2 linked regions of the Tribolium castaneum genome follow. Each later gene encodes a partner of the first gene's protein in a complex. Links are inferred from orthologs where the notes say so. Each region holds a gene or a part of one and is shown on either strand. Other genes may lie near its edges. The genes, in order: Tfb5 and Polr2B.

Evidence for each region.
Region 2: Tfb5 (region 1) and Polr2B share a complex: the UniProt entries of both Homo sapiens proteins name them as parts of the TBP-based Pol II pre-initiation complex. The link is inferred for Tribolium castaneum from reciprocal best matches to the Homo sapiens genes GTF2H5 and POLR2B.

What each region holds. Positions count from the first base shown.
Region 1 is NC_087399.1:6,490,141-6,506,358, forward strand, and holds Tfb5 (general transcription factor IIH subunit 5), read right to left. Parts: upstream 9,790-16,218; 5' UTR 9,683-9,789; coding exon 9,648-9,682; exon of another isoform or gene 9,601-9,647; coding exon of another isoform or gene 9,219-9,600; intron 8,758-9,218; coding exon of another isoform or gene 8,531-8,757; exon of another isoform or gene 8,525-8,530; intron 8,504-8,524; coding exon 8,317-8,503; 3' UTR 8,232-8,316; downstream 1-8,231. Other genes in the region: Ube4B (ubiquitin conjugation factor E4 B), read left to right, coding at 1-25, 3,786-4,107, 4,160-4,221; heix (ubiA prenyltransferase domain-containing protein 1 homolog), read right to left, coding at 6,827-7,807; meiotic nuclear division protein 1 homolog, read left to right, coding at 8,531-8,757, 9,219-9,600; hydroxyacyl-coenzyme A dehydrogenase, mitochondrial, read left to right, coding at 10,220-10,333, 10,388-10,964, 12,688-12,926; Ipk2 (inositol polyphosphate multikinase), read left to right, coding at 15,039-15,225, 15,278-15,576, 15,621-15,756. UniProt on the Homo sapiens protein: Component of the general transcription and DNA repair factor IIH (TFIIH) core complex, which is involved in general and transcription-coupled nucleotide excision repair (NER) of damaged DNA and, when complexed to CAK, in RNA transcription by RNA polymerase II.
Region 2 is NC_087395.1:24,234,855-24,238,940, forward strand, and holds the start of Polr2B (DNA-directed RNA polymerase II subunit RPB2), read right to left. Parts: upstream 2,801-4,086; 5' UTR 2,662-2,800; coding exon 2,643-2,661; intron 2,585-2,642; coding exon 426-2,584; intron 374-425; coding exon 129-373; intron 69-128; coding exon 1-68. Other genes in the region: uncharacterized protein Rsod, read right to left, coding at 3,146-3,246, 3,291-3,846, 3,896-4,030, 4,077-4,086. UniProt on the Homo sapiens protein: Catalytic core component of RNA polymerase II (Pol II), a DNA-dependent RNA polymerase which synthesizes mRNA precursors and many functional non-coding RNAs using the four ribonucleoside triphosphates as substrates.

The sequences.
Region 1 (16,218 bases):
CGCCGCCGCTTTGGCCGGCGATGAGGTGAGTGTTTAGTCTGCGGTCCGCTCCGGTTGTCAGACCTCGGTCAAGCATACAAAATACGTTCCCATGATCGTTAGTTCCGTTAATGTCACCAGAAAAAATAATTGTATTTGTATAATGGTCAACTCTTTGCAAATAAAAAAATTACAGGCAGGTAGAGTACTAAATTCTCAATAGTAAGACATAAACATAATGCAAAAATTTTATCGTAAACTACATTTAAAAAAAATTGGAACTTTTACCAATCTGCACTCTATTTCAAATTTTTCGAAACGCTGCGAATAATAATTATTATAAAAGCCTTTATTAAAGAAAAAATGTGAGGAGGCGAAGTCTAGCTAGTGTTATTCAACTTAACCTCTCTCAAAACAAAACATAAACTATGAAATATAACCCAAAATTAACTAAAACTAGAATAATTTCAAAGAGAAAATCAACCGAGAATAAACAGAAAATTATATAATTTTTTTAAAGTAAGGTGAAAAGAAATAAAGTATTAATAGAAATAATAATACAAAATGGAAAAACAAAACAGCAAAAGAACAATTACCAAAATAATAAATATTTCAACTTTATTTGTTTTTTAAGTAACTTTACTAGTTTTGACTTCAAAAGACTGTAAAAAACAGAACATCGACAGCCGGCAGACATGACGTAGACTTACATTGTGCAGAAGTTTTCACTTTAGGTAAAAATATGTTAAGGAGAGTGAATCATAACTGCCATCAAACAAAATGAAAATCAAGTTTTAACCAATTTATGTATTTAAAGTTTTTTAATTTTAGAGAAATATGATCTTATTTCTTAAGTTTGAAAATAAATGTACAATTATTTTAAATTTTTTGTAAGCAAGTTTTGTAATTAGAGCCAAGACAAGGGTAAAAAAGTGTGAGACAATAATTTATAATTGGTAATACAAGTGTTTCACAGAGTTTTTTTTCTTAATTTGAAATCAATTATAGATACTATGGTTTGGGTTTAGTAGACGCAAACACACGTAACTATTTTTTACCAAAAGAGAGACATGACATTTGAAACGTAATTCTTGATCAAAACCAACGCCCATTAATTTTATACTTTTGACAATTTTTAATTTAGAATTTTCAAAATGTATGTTTAGATCAACGTCATTTAATTTACAATAAGGGCCCTAAAACGGAGCCTTGGGGTACCCCTAAAGTAAGTCTTCCACAGTATGATAATAAATTATTCAGTTGAACAATAAACAGAATTTTAAACAGTTTTACTAAAAACCCATAAACTTAAGTTTGGCACAAAGCAATGAATTATTTGTTTTATCAAAAGTCCACTAATGACAATGCAGTATATCCAGTAACAGTGTATCTGATAGTTATCTAAAGTATTAGTTAATGAAGCATTTGTACTGAAACCTTTTCTAAACCCCGATTGGGAAGAAGGAAGAATATTATGAAAAATATAATTTAATTCTTTACAGATTTCTCCCGAACATTTTTCTTGTATCTTTAACTGATTCGCAAAATACGGGACGAGGCGCAAATTTTAAATCTTTAATAATTTTTCCCATGTTTCTTATAAAAATTTAGCCACCAGTTTTTCTCAGTCTCTCAAGAATGCAAAGCTTAACATCTCTACAGTAATTAGTGATTTGGTTGGATTTCAATAAGTTTAAAACGAAGCGCCCTCATTTTTACTCTGCCGTACTATTTTTTGCATACAGAAAATCCATCAAGTTAGTCCTCCGTGTCATGATAATTGATTTAATTTACGGTTCTAGGAATAATGCGCTGTTTAAATAGTAAGCAAGTTTTGTAATTAGAGCCAAGACAAGGGTAAAAAAGTGTGAGACAATAATTTATAATTGGTAATACAAGTGTTTCACAGAGTTTTTTTTCTTAATTTGAAATCAATTATACTATGGTTTGGGTTTAGTAGACGCAAACACACGTAACTATTTTTTACCAAAAGAGAGACATGACATTTGAAACGTAATTCTTGATCAAAAACAACGCCCGTTAATTTTATACTTTTGGCAATTTTTAATTTAGAAATTTCAAAATGTATGTTTAGATCAATGTCCTTTAATTTACAATAAGGGCCCTAAAACGGAGCCTTGGGGTACCCCTGAAGTAAGTCTTCCACAGTATGATAATAACTTATTCAGTTGAACCATAAACAGAATTTTAAATAGTTTTACTAAAAACCCATAACCTTAAGTTGGGCACAAAGCAATGAATTATTTATTTTAACAAAAGTCCACTAATGACAATGCAGTATTTAAACCAGTAACAGTGTATCTGATAGTTATCTAAAATATTAGTTAATGAAGCATTTGTACTAAAACCTTTTCTAAACCCCGATTGGGAAGAAGGAAGAATATTACGAAAAATATCACGTAAATGCCAAGGAATATGGGAGTTTTCACGAGATTTTAAACCAACATTTTTTACTTTTTCCACAACATTTTATTAATCTTATTTAGAAAAGCCGTTTTCTTGGTCTCGCGGACTTTTCTAAAAGAAATTTAATTCTTTAAAGATTTCTCCCAAACAGCGTCTTAAAAAAACAGGACGAGGCGCAAATTTTAAATCTTTAATAATTTTTCCCATGTTTCTTATAAAAATTTTAGCCACCAGTTTTTCTCAGTCTCTCAAGAATGCAAAGCTTAACACCATTTATTTAAACAATAAGTTTAAAACGAAGCGCCCTCATTTTTACTCTGCCGTACTATTTTTTGCATACAGAAAATCTATCAACTTAGTCCTCCGTAACATGATAATTGATTTAATTTACGGTTCTAGGAATAATGCGCTGTTTAAATAGTAAGCAAGTTTTGTAATTAGAGCCAATACAAGGGTAAAAAAGTGTGAGACAATAATTTATAATTGATAATACAAGTGTTTCACAGAGTTTTTTTTCTTAATTTGAAATCAATTATACTATGGTTTGGGTTTAGTAGACGCAAACACACGTAACTATTTTTTACCATAAGAGAGACATGACATTTGAAACGTAATTCTTGATCAAAACCAACGCCCATTAATTTTATACTTTTGACAATTTTTAATTTAGAATTTTCAAAATGTATGTTTAGATCAACGTCATTTAATTTACAATAAGGGCCCTAAAACGGAGCCTTGGGGTACCCCTGAAGTAAGTCTTCCACAGTATGATAATAAATTGTTCAGTTGAACCATAAACAGAATTTTAAACAGTTTTACTAAAAACCCATAAACTTAAGTTTGGCACAAAGCAATGAATTATTTATTTTATCAAAAGTCCATTAATGATAATGCAGTGTTTAAACCAGTAACAGTGTATCTGATAGTTATCTAAAATATTAGTTAATGAAGCATTTGTACTGAAACCTTTTCTAAACCCCGATTGGGAAGAAGGAAGAATATTACGAAAAATATCACGTAAATGCCAGGGAATATGGGAGTTTTCACGAGATTTTAAACCAAAATTTTTAACTTTTTCCACAACATTTTATTAATCTCCCAAACAGCGTCTTAAAAAAAAACAGGACGAGGCGCAAATTTTAAATCTTTAATAATTTTTCCCATGTTTCTTATAAAAATTTTAGCCACCAGTTTTTCTCAGTCTCTCAAGAATGCAAAGCTTAACATCATTTATTTAAACAATAAGTTTAAAACGAAGCGCCCTCATTTTTACTCTGCCGTACTATTTTTTGCATACAGAAAATCTATCAAGCTAGTCCTCCGTAACATGATAATTGATTTAATTTACGGTTCTAGGAATAATACGCTGTTCTTTGCAGAGATCTTTCCGGAAAGATTTGTTTGACGACGCAGCGGCGCGATTAGAGCGCCTGTCAATCAAAACTCCGGTTGAGATCGAACGGTTTAAGGCCTTGGCCGATAAGGCGTATCACGTGTATCAAAATAACCAGAAAAGTGATGACTGGATGAGCGACGCCCCTGACGAATTCAAGGATCCCTTAATGGACACTTTGATGACTGATCCTGTGTTGTTGCCCAGTGGGCAGGTGATGGACAGGTCCGTCATTATGAGGCATTTGTTGAATAGCAGTACGGACCCGTTTAATCGGCAACCATTGACTGAAGATATGCTGCAGCCAGGTTAGTTTCAAGTTGCTTTTTCGTAGGGGAATTAAAAATTTGGATGTTGCAGTGAATGAGTTGAAGGAGCGCATTAGGATATGGAAATCAGAAAAGACACGTTCGGCAAATTAATTTTATTATTTTTTGGTATAAATATAATTTTTGGATAAAACTGAGTTTATTTCGACCGGAAGGAAGGAAGGCTGAGAATCTCGTTTCGTTTGCATTTGTTCCTCAAATTCATACTGCCAAATTGTTGCTTTTTTAGTTCAGTAATTAATGCCAACTTATTGTTTGTCTTGACTTTCCCCCAGTCCGGTGGATTATTTTTGTACATAATTATACAAAACGCAAAGTGAGATGTACATTTTTTTCATCTAATCGAATTAACTGTTAGTGCAAACAAATTTGATTGTTTCCCGATATTTTTTCTAGATAATTTTAGGTTAAAGCTTGTAGACACCGAAATAATCAAATTTATTTGTAATGAAAACAAAGCAAAACAATTTTTATATGAAAACGTAGGTTAGTTTGTATGTAATGGGTCAATAAAATTTATACAAAAATCAGATATGTGTTTTCGTAAAAGCCCTATCATGCAATACTGTCTCGGTAACTAGAGGTTTGTCCGACAAAACAGCTCGTAAGTAAAAAACGGTTCAGGACTAAAACTTCCGCAGGAACAAACCTGTAAATCCCACTAGACCAACAATTTTAAATGCTATGATTGTGCTATTATCACTACCGAAAATTGTGCTAAAGGCTGTCCCTGACGCGCTTTGAATAATTGATTAAGTCATAAGCCCCGAACAAGCCGCCAGGTGGCCAACCCACACACTACGAATAAATTATTTGATATTTTTACGCAGACTTTTCCGTTATTGTCAATTGAAGTAGTCTGAGCAGTGACTGGAAGAGATGCGATTGCAGCGCCCCCAAACGTCAAATGGCGCCTACTACCACTACCAAGCGTTTCGTTTAATATTAGTCTAGACACACAAAATAAAAACAAACGGAAATTATAATGATTTACTATAAAATCTCTTACACAACGTCATACAAAACTCATCAACATTAACAATAAATTAATCAGCTATAAAAATACATGATTTATAATTGGCCAATCAGGGACTAAACCCCGCCTTGAAAGAGCCAATCACCTGATTAGGTTCAGTCACGACCAGAAAGAATGTCACCCCTACGAACCACAGCAATGATCTTTTAGGTCATAAATGTAAATTTCACATCATCGAGTGTTTTCTCGACTATTAGATTTTAGGCCCCAATGATATTAAAATCGTATAATATACATGTAATTAGAGTCGGCGTACAGAAAACAAGTTAAAATTTATTCCAACGTTAAATTAATTCAAAGTAAGTTACCATTTACCTTGCATTGACAAAGTCAATCTATAGGAGTATGTTCATATTTGAAAACTAAAACAGTGAATTTATAATTAATTCCAATAATAATTTTTCATTTAAAATTTAAAAAATTGTTTCTAAGCAAACATAATAGTTATTTAACTATTTGGCATTTTTCAATACGAAATGTCTGACTATTCTAACAGATTTAAAGCAATTTCAAGCCTTGTTGAGTCAAATTCGAAAAATAAATGTTGTATTCAACTCGTTTTCATGTAAATCGATTAATAAAATAATTTTTTTTATTACGAATATATAGAATTGGCCAGCAAATATCGAATTTACCTTTGCAAAGTCAAATCAGTCAAAAATCTGTTGCTTCAAAACTGTAAAGTTTACTTTAAATTTTGAGGTTTCCAATTTTTTTTTTAATTTGGCCAAATAAATGAATTTCTAGCTTAAAAGTGTAAATTTTGCAAAACCTTTAACTTTGTACACATTTTCTGTGAAATAATTTTTCCACGGCCAACATGGCTGCTTTATCCGGCTCGAAGGACCAAATATTAGTAAGTTCATATTGATAGAATCCATAAATGGAGAAACATCGTTATTATTTTTTGCAACCGTTTTGAATAAAGAAAAATTCCAGCCGAGGCGAAGCCGAGTTTCTTTAACAACTTGCGGTTAAAAACGGATGATTCGTTTTAAGTAAGACCCCATTTTCGGTTTGTCTGTGAGCGACTTCGTCCTTTTGTATAATCACTTTTTTTTAGAATTTTATTGGTAAATACTTGACAAAAGACTAGGACTTTTAGAAACATTAAATTAAAGGCAAAATTTCTAACAAAAAAAAGATTATTTAAAGATAAGTAAAAATTTATAACAAAAATGTTTCAAAAAATAGAGGGTACTATTTAAAATTTTAAATTAAAAGTGGCTAACAACTGGAACAGAATGTAACTAACGTTGGTTTTGAACTTTAGTACACCTACTTTTGTTTAAAAATAAGTAAATAAGTACTACTTAAAAAGCTAACACATTACGTAATACAGTTTTGATCATACTTGGAGTAAATAGACTACATTTATTAATTTACACGATTAGAATATCGTTGATGTTACAAAAGTAAAAACCCGAAATCATGTTTATTGACGTTTACGACCCAACAGTTTATAGGGATGACATTCTTTATGATCGTGACTGTTCATTGTCATAAGTACAATAATCTCGACGTAACAAACGAAAATGAGAAGGTATTGCGGCTTGGACCCCAAGCCGCAAACCCGCACTAGCGCCCCCTTTTGACGCAGTTCCTCAACACAGTAAAAAATAACTTAATAGAAATAAATACAACTAATAAGAGCTCGTACATCTATCTTTTGGTGACGTACGGCAGCGCTGGAACCAAACTACAGGCCAGCACGTACAAAACACCGAAAAACAAATTCAATTTGGCAGTCTTTTTGGGCACACTGTGTATATCGTTGGATCTGAACTGTTTTTCGATTTTAAAAGCGCTAGGAAGCGTGACTAGAGGCAACATGAACCATTTCGAGTATTTCAACGAGGCCACCATGAACATGATATACGGGGTGAACAACAAAAACGCGTACAAGACGTGCGAGGCAGTGTGGCCGATAATAATCGCCAGAGTCACAATTCCCACCTTTTTGTCCGACTCAGAGTCCCTTGTGTTATTACTATGTAAAATCGCCTCAGTATTAAGGGCCAGAGGGATGGCGTAGTAAATCGTCGCCCACTCGACGCGCCCCGTTTGCGACATGAAGGCGAAAAGCACCGAAATGGGGCCGAACAAAATCAAAATAAGCACATCCCCGAGGGCTATATACTTGAAGCCTATACCTCCCGTGTAGAGGAAGCTCGACGACAGCCCCCCGAAATAGACCAAAGCCAAGTGCTCCATCTTCGCGGGGCTCAACGCCGCCAAGAGAATGAACCCCACACAGCCGGCAAAGTATAAAAGGGCCCCCAGAGACACCACCTCGTCTTTGGTCAGAATGTGGTCCACCAGGATCCGGTCGTCCGATTTCCGGTTGTCGATCCCCTTGACGTAGTCGAAGTAGGTGTTGACGACGTTTCCGGCGCCGTGCACCGACACCACGGTGAAAATTGTGAGCAGGAGGGTGGCGTAGTTGAAATCGGTAACTCCGGGGTATTTGTACGCTATGGTGGAGCCCAACAGTGTGGGCATGAGACTGGCACTGAGGGACCACGGACGCAAGGCTAGCACGTAACTTGATAGCTTCATGAGGCCCGATTTTTGGCCGTTTTGGCGCTTGGGAGTGGTGGAGCCATTGGTGAGGAGTTTCTCGCTGGGGGTGGGCACCGTCATGATGGGGGTAAATGCACTGACACGGAACTTAACACACTTGATGATTTGTGGCCGAGAAACGCGTTTTTTCGTTTTATAACTTTGACAAACGGAACATAACCAAAGAAGTCAATTGTGACGTTTGACATGTGGCTGTGGTTACGTCACGGCGGCTATTAAATCAGGGAAAAATTATAATTAGTGACACGTTTCCGTTATCTATTGCTTAATTCTATTCTTATCATTTGTGTGTAAAAATGTTCGTGATGGCGTAACAACTGTAGAATAGTCGGTTATCAAAGAAGCGTAATTGTAGCCACTTCCAATTTACAGGGAACTGTATTATTTGTACCGACAATTTGAAAAAACAGTTAATTAGTGCCTTATTGCGTAAGTATGGACGAAAACCGGCCCGCAACGATATTATTTATAGCAAAACACGTCATTATATAAATGCTGCGCTTTTTATTTATAATTCGAATGACCACACATCAATATGACATAACCTCACTTTTGCAAATTACAAAAAATTAATTGCTTTTTTCGGCGACTGGGAAGCTAATTTGGTCCATCAGATCGTCGATTTTTGCCTGTAATGTCTCTAAAATATCGGCTGAAATAAATAAGTGGTTTTCATCCAAGTCCTGAATTATGAATTTTCGGCCTAGTTTTGTAGTCTCATCTAAATACAAAAGGAATTGTTTCATGGCCTGGTCACTGAAACAACGCATTTTTTAGGGGAAAATGTTCAAGAAAAAAGGTCTAAGTTTTGAGGAGAAAAAGGCTAGGATGTTGCAATTGTTTCACGAGACTGGGGATTTTTATCAAATGAATGAATTGGAAATAATTGCGCCAAAGGAGAAAGGAATTACGGCGAATTCTGTGAAAGAAGTGGTCCAAGCTTTGGTGGATGATGGTTCTGTTGATAAGGATAAGATCGGGAGTTCCGTCTACTTTTGGGCTTTTCCCAGGTAAATATTATACAGGGTGTCCGTTTTTTTGAGAAGTTGTGCATTTGTATGCAAAACAATTTCTGAAAGAAAATTTTATGTGCCATTTTTAGTTTTTGAATTATTGAGAGAAATTTAAAAAAATGATTTTCGTTTTTATTTTTTTCCCATAAAAAAAACGAAGTTAAGTGTTGTAACTCTGACATCAAGCAAGCCTAGGAAAATCCGATGACAAATTTAGATTCCTTGTAAAAAGTGCCCGAAAAAGTCCTACGTCTAGTTCTTTTGGTTTTCACTTGAAAAAATAAAAACGAAAATTACAATTTTTTTTTTCAAATAATTGTTCAGCATAAAAATGCGCAACTTTGCCCTAATTTAACCGACCTCGTATCTCTTATAATAACGGAGATCACTGAGATAACTGGGAGAGTGTCCGAAAAACGGTATAGACGGGCCAAAAACACGTTTTATCCTAATTACAGCAAATTACTTAACGCGAAAAAACGCAAACTTAACGAGCTTCAAACGAAATTAGAATCGTCAACAAAAAAATTGAAATTAATTGACGAAACTATGGAAAAAGCGCAGGTGGGGAAAGAGAATTGGGACGACAGCCAGATTTTGAAGGAAATTGAAAAACTGGAAAAACAGAAAGAAAAATTCGAATCTCTGTCGAAATCTCACACAGATACTCAAAATTTGAAATTAATGCAAAGTGAGATAAAACCGGTAAAAGAAGCAGCAAATCGATGGACTGATAATATCTTCGCGGTCAAATCATGGTGCAAAAGGAAGTTTATGATGGAAGATAAGGTTTTAAATAAGCAGTTTGGGATTCCCGGAGATTTGGATTATCTGGCATGATTGAGGTTATGTCAAACAAAAACTCAAAAAAATTGTTAGGGCCTTACCAGGTCACCAAAACGCCTTTCATTACATTAACCATTGTTGATAATCGAGAATTGTGTACTTTTTTAAATCAGAAATAAATTATTTTTCTTACAAAAGTTGGTGTTTTTATGACATTTGACAACTTATAGAATGCAACTAACCTCTCACACGTGTATTGCTGATTGCATAATCACAAATTTCCCCAAAATTATATTTTTTTTCAAGTATTTCTTTGAAAAAAGTGGATAAATTGATAACAGGGATTGCTATATAGCCCCATTTTGGAACCCTCCTGTGTACCACTTGACTGAATGATGTTGCACTTTTATTACATAATACCTAAATAAATTCAGGTACAAAAGTCGCACTCGTTATCGAAAGCGGATTATTTTTAAACCATCGGCACGATGATTTTCACTTCTGAGCCCTAATCTCGCCATAAACGATAAAATGATTAAAAAGTACACAAACGTAGCGGTGGGAGTCGATCATAGGTTACAAACTTGGACTTTCACCTAGTTATTGTATCGTTAATAAACCAAACAAAATCCGCATTACACACCACTTTTTACTCGTAACCGAACGCGAAAAAATGGCCCTAAACCTGTTCATCAAGCGAAGCCTTTCAACTTCAAGCCCCATGAACGCAGTTATAAAAAACGTAACTGTGATCGGGGGCGGCCTCATGGGCTCAGGCATCGCCCAAGTAAGTGTACCCCAAACCACCCGAACCTAACCTAACATTCGCCCCCTTGCTTAGGTGGCCGCGCAAACCGGCCACAACGTGACCATCGTGGAAGTCAACCCCGACTTGATCAAAAAAGCCGAAGACAGCATTGCGAAAAACTTGGTACGAGTCGCCAAAAAACTCCACAAGGATGACCCGCAAGCCGCTAATAAATTCGTGAGCGAATCGCAGGCCCGGATTAAGGGGTGCACCGACATTGCCGAAGCTGTGAAAGACAGCGATTTGGTCGTGGAGGCGATTGTTGAAAACATGGATGTTAAGCACAAATTGTTCAAAAATTTGGATGAGGTCGCGCCCCCCAAAACCATGTTTGCGTCAAATACGAGCTCGCTCTCGATTACCGAAATTGCCTCCGTTACGAAGAGGAAGGATAGGTTCGGGGGGCTGCATTTTTTCAATCCCGTGCCCGTTATGAAGCTTTTGGAGGTTGTTAGGACTCCGGAGACGTCGCAGGAGACGTACGAGGCCTTTATGGCGTGGGGCAAAGCCGTGGGCAAGACCTGCGTCACCTGCAAGGACACCCCCGGGTTTATTGTTAACAGGCTTCTGGTGCCCTATATAGCAGAAGCCATCAGGATGATGGAGAGAGGTAATAATTATGTAATATTGAAGCTCGAAGCGAAGCTGAGAGCTTTAAGGTTGCCAAGCTTGTGGCAAATACAGGCGTTCAATAAATCTGATACGACTTGAGTTACACAAAACGAAATGAATTTTTGAAAATATTTTTATTGCCAATAAGGCTCTACGAATGGAAAATAAATCGAGTTATAAAATACCGAAAAATTCTTCAGACTTCAGACTGTCAAGATGAAATTTAGGATTTTTTTTCCAAGTAAATTTATGTCAACCCGGTTTTTTTTCTTATTGGATTTTGAGGTTTTTTTCAAAAACTTAGCAAAATCTACTGGTGAAACAACATTATGATTAAGAACTATGTATTTGTTGAAGGTCATTTTTCAAAAAAATCCTCGAACAGGTCGAGCTTATTTTTGTAAATGCTACATGGTAACATTTGTGACATCACTGGTTTCTCAATAATGCCGCTATTTTTAATTTTTTTAAATGGGAATCGATATTTTTGGTTACTGTTTTTTATAGTAGATATTACTCTTTTATCTTTATAGTAAGTGCAAAAAATTGAAGTGATAAATAAAAAATTTAGAAAAAAAAAAAATTTTATAAGGGGCGATTATTTTTTTGCTTATTTTGAAAAATCAGAATAATATGAATTTTATGCGTTACTTTAGACACACTCTATATATCCAAAAATGCACAATATAGGGTGTTTTATTTAAAAAATATATAAATTTGCATTGTACCTAACATTTTTTGCTAATCTTTTATTGAAATATTTTAACATAACGACAGTTAAAGTTTGATTCAATAACTTAACCTTCACCAATATAAAAAAAATTAGCTGAAAACAATACTATCTTATAATGTTATATATTTTTTCTACTCCCATTCCTGAAGTGATTGATTAAAAATGTTTGTGACCTGTACTTTAATGAAAATCATTATGATACTGGCTTGTAACCAATGGTAATGCAGAGTAGTGACCACGAGGACAACTTGTGACCAATGAGAATGTAACATGGCAGCAACTATTAGATTGCCTTGAGTCTGACTTTAAAAATAAATTAATCATTTTGAAAAAAAATGCAAGTCTTTTAATTTTAATCAGTCGGATCGTAAAAAAATAGTGTATGTAACTCGCATTTAATTTAAAACACTCGTACGACACTCGCTAAGGCTCGTTTCATAAAGTTGCTATTTAAGTTGCATTAACCAATGTCAAATTACTAAGTATTCTGTTAATCATATACTAAAATTTGATTTTTAATTTTGTGGAAAAACAAATGTTTGAAAATTTCAATACACAAAATCGTTAATCTCGTTTCTAATTTTCTTTTTATAAAAACCCGATTTTTAAAATTTTACTATGAATTAATATTTTATTTTAGGTTTGTTATGTAAGCGAGCTAAATTTTTAAATTACATTTAAATAAATAATTAATATGTGATCAATGTTGTGGCAAATAAAGTTTTTCTAATTGTTAGTTAAAAAATTTGTAATTTGTATAGTTTCATTTTCAAAAAAATTTGCATACATAATTTTTAGAAATTTCTCAATATCGGTAAGTAGTACTTTATGAAGGCAAATACTAGTCAAGACAGTAACATCTCTAAATAAAAAAAATAAGGAAAACGGCATTACCTTACTATTTTTTTTAACGGCAGTATACAGTAATTACAAGTCAAAATTTTGAAAGGCTGTTAACACAAAAAATATGTATGAATTTTTTTCGAAGGTGATGCTTCGCCCCGCGATATCGACACCGCCATGAAGCTGGGGGCTGGCTACCCCATGGGCCCCATCGAACTGGCCGACTACGTGGGACATGACACCTCGCACGCCATCATGCAAGGCTGGCACAAGAAATTCCCTGATAACCCCCTTTTCAAACCGAACGAATCCGTACAAAAACTAATCGATGAGAAAAAACTGGGCGTGAAAACCGGCGAAGGCTTCTACAAATACACCAAATAAATATCTATATGTATTTTAATCAAATAAACAATTTTTTAATTGATTTGTTTACTGATGTCGATTTTTCCTCGTGTAAAATACTGTTGGCAAAGCCGCGAAGGTTCGATCGGATGTCATTCATGCCGTTCTATTTTCGTAAACCGAGTGATTTATTTTATTGAAAAGGTCTCCTCGAGTCGCAAAAAGTCAGTCATCGTTTTATTATCGTCGTATTGTCGCTATAAAAACACATCTTTAATGTGTGTTCTTAAAGTGGAGTGAAGGACGACTTAAAAATACATGCACAGAGATTGGGCGAATTAGCGGCGAGTACACGATTTTTTCGAGTAAATAAACTTTCGCGATTTCCGGTTGAAAAAACAATTAACACGTGGGTGCGAACGTTGATAACATTTCCGTGAAATCGCAGTCAATGCAATCGATACATCCTGTTTGAGGAGATGAGCGAAATTTATTTCGGCGGTAAGTTGAGGGCGGTTCTCGGTAATTCCCCTAATAAACACGTCATGGCAACAACAGACCTAAAAATCTAGTTCAAATTTCGCGCCACAATGCGTTGGCAATGAAAAAATTAAACAAACACTTGTGGTGTCAACAACAGTTGGCTAGATTAGCCGTTTCGTACAAATTGCCAACATAAATCGAGTGGGATTTTCTGGCGAAATTTCCATTTTTCATCACCGGAGAAAGGGAGTCAATTTTTTACTTCTATGGTTGGCGACAGTGCGCATGCGCCTTTTCGCGTATAAATAACTCGTCAAGGTGTCAAATTTGCACAAATCAAAGTGACGTGGTTTTGTTCACTGTGACGGTTCAAGATTCGCCCAAAACGGTTTTCTTTAAATAAAATGAACATCTTGCAGTGCTCTTTGTGCAAATTTGGTTACAAAATACGCAAATTTTGGTTCGAAGTTGAGTAGGTTAGTGGTTTTTGTGCCCTGGACTATCACCTGGAACTGGCCACATTTTTTATATTTTATGTTGTATTATTTTTTTGAGCTTGTGTTGGATCAAATTACATATTTATAGCGTCAAAGACCCCGCTAATTGTGTTCAGGGAAAAAGTGAATCATATTCTAAAAATATTCGTGAAATAATTTTTTTTTCATATTTTTTATTCGGGGGAAAGGTCGCGAAGGGGCTGTTGACCTCCGAACAAGCGCCTAACGGTCGTGACAATTGCACTTTTTACAAATAATTGCAATTATCAGAGTGACCTATTAAATTCGCCGATTTTTATACCGGGTGTTCTGGGAAAGTTATTAGAAAGCGTCTGATAAGGATTCATGTTGCAAACTTTGTCCCTAATAAATCTAATTCAAGTCAAGTTTAAGGCTCCCAAATTATGTCACTGGAAGATTTCGCCGACTCTCTTAGGCGCAAAATTTATTACTTGGCTTTAGTCATCAAGGTGACATTTTCCTTCATTTGCCAACGAGTTTTATTGTTGGAAAATATTTAATTTATCTCGGCCCCGATAATGAAAATACCTTAACGAGATTATTCAAGGGTCAACTATGTCTTGTTGAATAAACATTGCATTTTATTATGCAATTGAAAAACGTTTATCCTGAAACGTTAAAATAACAATCGAGTGATTGTTATGATAAGCGAGGCACTCAAGCGAATTTATGATGATGTTATGCGCTAAGTGAGTGTTTAATCGATAAAAATAATTTTTGTTTGCAATTCTAAAAGGATTAGGGGACATAAATTTGGCACCCACGAATTTGGTTCCCCACTTGGCCATGATAAAACAATTACCATGCATCTTACAAGCTTTTGTTAAATTCAGGGCCAACCAATATTAAATTATTTTGCAGTCATGGCGCGCGTGTAATTGTTTCGAACCCTTTGCAATGTGGCTCAGTTGGCCGTGAGAAATCGAAAGTTGCATCTGTCATTAGATTGTACCCACACGATGAGAAAAAAATAAACAAAAGTGACATTTGATAGGTCACAGCCGCCTCGAAATCGAAAGTTGCGTCAGGTCATAGCCGCCTCGACTTATCGCTTAATTCCTTTCAATTTGCGAAAAATTAATAACCCCGGCTTAATAATCGCATTTATCACATTTATGGTTGTTTTAGCCGATCAGATAAGCTTGAAAAAATGGGAAAATCAGAAGTCGTACCAATGCCAATTCATAAACAAGACAGCTTGTACGCGGGCTGTAAAGGTGCCGCCTTTTCGCTCGTTGATCCAGTGGAAGAAGATGAAGAGTATCTAGAGATCCCTGCCGATATGCAATTGTTCGAAAATCAAGTGGCGGGTCATATGATCAAGGGAAAACAATACGGTAACCAGTGTGTACATGCGAAATGTTGAAATTTACAAAATTTGCAAAAAAGGTATGATTAAGCACAAGGGCACTGTACTTAAACCCATCACCAAGCCGAAGTGTGGCCAACGCGAGGTCGAGTTTTACGAAGAAGTTAGCAAAGCCAGCGATGAGACAAGAAGGGAGTTGAAGGATTTTGTCCCCAAGTACTTCGGGACGGTTAAAGTGCCCATCAAGGGCACGGAAATCGACTGCATAGTGCTTGAAGATCTGACGAAACATTACAAAGAGCCCTGCGTCATGGACATCAAGATCGGGAGAAGGACGTGGGACCCCACAGCCACTTATGAGAAAATCGTCAATGAAGAGGTAACCGGCATTGGAAAAACGGCAAAAATTAATTCAAATTTTAGGCAAAGTATCAAGACTCGAAGCGCGACCTCGCCTTCTGCATCCCAGGTTTTCAAGTCTATCAAATTTACAACAACCAGTTGGCCAAGTTTGACAAGAATTACGGAAAAACTCTTAATAAAGACACCGTTCCGTTAGGTTAGTAAGGTCAAAAGTGAGGTTAGGACTTACCGACCGGTTGATTGAATTTTCGCTTTGGAAGTGCCGTTTTCACATCCAGAACACGTCAATTTTCATTTTTCTTGTCACTAGCATACGTTTTCGTTGTTGTTTGCTTGTTCTTAGGTAAAATAATTCGGAATTCAAAAATTTTTTCGACGCCATCACTTTTGTCAAATGTAACACTGCTACCAACCGGTCAGGGAATATTTTTCTACCAACCATGCTTTAATGACGACGAAATTCATATTTTTGGATCCAGTTGAGAACAAATTCTGAAAATCACATTTCCTGACTTATGAACACACAAAAACTCGTGTTTTTTAGTTAAATAATGCACAAATCGTCCTTAGTGTTTAAAATAAAAGTGAGGTTAGGGCTTACCGATCCAATTTCATTTCTCAAACTTTACAATTTTATTAAATAGGCCCCACGTAGGCA
Region 2 (4,086 bases), on another chromosome or scaffold:
CGAACTGCTCCTCTTGGTCGCCGATGCGTTTCGATTCGGCGTCCTTGTACGAGCGGTAAAACACAGATCTAAAGCACAAAATAACAAATTATTTTATTTCTACTATATTACTTTTTTTTAATACTCACCGGAAAAATCCCCTTTCGACGGCCGACGCGTTCAAAATAACCGAATCCTCCTGGTTATAACCGGTGTAACACGCAATGGCCACGATGCTGTTAATCCCAGCCGGTAATTCCCTGAATCTGAGATATTCCATTGATCTGGTTGTAACCAACGGTTTGTGGGGGTAATACAGGACGTGGGCAAGGGTGTCCATGCGGACATGGAAGTTGGTGATGTACACACCCATGGCTTGCTTGCCCATAGCACTCTGAGGAAAAAATTAATTACTAAAAAAATTCAAACAACACCAAAACAAATACTTGATATGTGTTTCTGGGACTCTGGTTGTGATCCGGGAAGGGTATAATACTGGCACAAACACCCAAAATCATAGCTGGATGGATCTCACAATGTGTGTAAGTGGTACAATACGCGTATTCCTTCTCCTGTCTCAAATCGTCCGGAGACATCGCAATCATCACAGTCTCCTCTTCCAAAGTATCGATATATTCGACAACCCCTGAAGCCACCAAAACCTGCCACCCGTAGTTATTATATTCCCTCTCTTTCAACATATCAATGTGGCGCTTCTTCAACAATAAAGTCCCATTTTCCACGATTAGTAACGGCCGACAAATCCGTCCAGCATCCGTGTAAATGCGAATCTCCCGGTCCCGAATATCCCGAATCATGGAAACCTCCGACACAATAATATCCATCTGTCTCCTCAACTTGCGTAACGTCGCCATCAACTGTTCGGGGTCCCTGTGAATTCCCACCCAGCAACCATTAACAAAAATCTTGGTCGCGTTGGCTATGGCAGACGGCGCAATCTCCTCCAAATTCTCCATCGACCACTCCTCCAAAAACTCCAAAATTGGAGAGGGTTGCGACCCCACCGAAATATACGCCATGAGGGCCAGATTTTTCACCAGACCAACAGCCGCCCCTTCTGGTGTCTCCGCCGGACAAATCATCCCCCAGAGCGTGTTGTGCAACTGTCGGGGCTTCGCCAACTTCCCGTCACGTCCAATGGGCGAATTAACACGTCTCAAGTGCGACAAAGTCGAGGCAAAAGTCAAACGGTTCAACACCTGCGAGACACCGGCTCTGGCCTGGTGGGCCTTCTTCTGGTCCCCCCAGTTACCAGTCGCCAGAGAATACCTCAACCCGTCCGTAATCAACTTAGTCTTAATGGCCAAGTCGAGGTTAAAGTCTTTGCCCCGATCAATAAATTTCTGGGCATACATCCGTACTTCCTTCATCAAGTTTTTAAACAACCCACGGAACAAAAACGCAAGCAGGGGCCCCGCCAAGTCCAGTCGTTTGTTACCGTAGTGATCCCGATCGTCCAGCTCGCGGCGCCCCAAAGCCGCCAGGAGCAACCGGTGCACCATGTACCCCAAAAAGTAGGCTTTTTTCGTCTCGCAAAAATCGGACACTCCAACGTGGGGCAGCATCTCCTTCTGGAGGATCTCTCGCGCGTATTTGATACGCTTTTCTTTGGTGACGCCCGGCCGGGCCCCCCTGGTCCCAATGAAGTTGAGTGCGATGTTCTGTTCCTGGATCACGAACGCTTCGTCCAGGGACGGTTTCACCATTTCCATCATCTCGGGGTCTTCGAAGTCGTAAATAATGTGCTCGAGGATGTCCCGATCGGCCACGAACCCCAAGGCCCGGAACACGATCATGATGGGGATCTCCTGCTTGATGTAGGGCAAGATCGCGATGATTCGTTGCCCGATGGCGGCCTTTTTGATCGCCTGGCCCCCACGTGCCATCATGTTGACCCAGAGGGTGGACGTGGGGCGCGAGCTGTGCTCGAGACAGGAGCGGATTTCGGATTTGAAGGCGTATTTCCCGTCTTTCATCGAGAAGACGTAGACGGTGTTCGTGGCCATTTTCTCCTGGGCGATTAGGACTTTCTCTGAGCCGTTGATGATGAAGTAGCCGCCGGGGTCAAGGGGGCACTCGTTGAGTTCGGTCAAGTCGCGGTCGGTTAGACCGTTGAGGAGACAGTACGTGGATCGGAGCATAATCGGGATTTTCCCGATGAAGGTTTTCTGGTGCTGGGTCTCAATGGGGTCCTCGCCGTCCTTGACTATGGTCTTGGTGATATCGACGTACAAGGGGGCCGAGTAGGTCAGGTTGCGCAAGCGGGCCTCGTTGGGCATCATGGGCGAGGGGGCGCCGTCTTTCTCCCAATGGGTCGGTTTGGATAGGTAGATCTGCTCGAATTTCAGTAAATACCGAGAGGGGTTTTCAAGCTCGCCGCTTGTGTGCTGTGCCTCGGCTTGGAGGTCGATTTGGGGCGAGTCTTCGACGATTCGTTGCACCGACATTTGGATAAACTCGTCGAAACTGTCCAGTTGTTGCCGGACGAGGCCTTTTTCGTCGAAATAGGCGTTGATGACGATCCAGCAGGCCTCTTGCCACAACTCGGAGCTGATTTCTTCAGACTCTTCATCGTCGAATTGGTCTGAAAAGCCGGTTTTTGTTACAAATGGCTCGGGGGCTACTCAAGGGGGATTGCGTACCTTCGTCTTGTTCATACATTGCTGATTATTTGCAAAAAATGGGGCACAAATGAGACGCACAAAACACAAGTTTTGAGCGTCTGTCAAGTGTCAGTTGACTTTGTATGGGGACCCCAAGAAAACCCTTATTTTGTGAAATAAATTAATATTTTATGTTCGGGGGGTAGCCCCAAACACAATACTTTGGAAAACAAATAAAAAACTTGTTAAATACGGCCCAATTTTTTATTTTCCTGCAATGACCTTGAAGTGTTACGTAACCATACAACAAAAAAGTCTCCAGATTTTCAAGATACGATGTTAAATTACACTATTCGACCAAAAAAATATTTAATAATTATCTGTAATGTGACTTAAAGGTCAGGTAAGTGGTAACAAGTCCAATTTTTTAATTATATTGCGTTTTTGATTTTTTGTGGATTGCACCACGTGACTTCATTATTGGCGCTAAATTTCAAACTCCATGGTAATATATTACTTTTTTATTAGGAACAGTCATATCATTACAATAAATAGCTTAAAACTATCACTACAATCAGACTGTGAGCAAATTTGGCTGGGTTGCTTCCTGAGCGTGCAAAGAAAAATCCGGTCCGTTTTTTACCTGCAAAATACACTCATTTTTTGTCGCCTAATCCATAAACTTACTCTTCTCGTTGGGGTCTTGTACTCCACACTGCTTGTACGCAATTTTCACCTTACGTTTCGTATTAATAAACCCTGGAATGTACAATGTGGGGGTGTCTAAACGCCCACTTGCCAGCAATCGGCTGAAATCCTGCTCTAATCGGTTAGCTAGCGGTCCTTTAAAATGCAGCAAAAGCTGGACGCAAGCGTCGCTGTGCAAAGACTTGGTTTTGCGCGAATCTACGGTCAAAAACCAGTCGGGGATTCCCAGAATTTCGCGCACTTCTTCGATAAACTGCGACAGGACAAAACGTGGGGGCTTTTCGATGTTTGCGTACTTGATTATGTCATAGTCGGGCTCGATATTGGCACAGGCGTAACGTTCGGGACGTCTGTTGGGGCTCATGATGACGATGGAGCGCCCGATTGCCGTGACGTCGCCTTCGAGCGGGAAATTCGCATCGGTGAAGACTTTGCGCTGGAGCCCGATGTCGATGGTCCCCAAACGGGCCGACAGGTCCCCCACGTGGCACCTGAGCGGGTTCTCAGGCCCGCACTCTTGCCGATAAAGATCACCCTGAAACCAGAACATTATATTATAAAATTAAAAAAAAAGCAAAATATACATTGAGGGGGTCGGCCAGTTGGGTGAAATAGGGGTTCCAGATGTAGCCCCCGGCCACACACCGCGTGTTCTGGGTCTTGACGGCCGCGTCCACGCCCACTGGGTTCACGTAAATGGCCCAGTCATGGTCCCTGGTCTGTTCAAAATAGTACCATTAAAAATAAACCACTGGAGACACGTACCACATTCCGG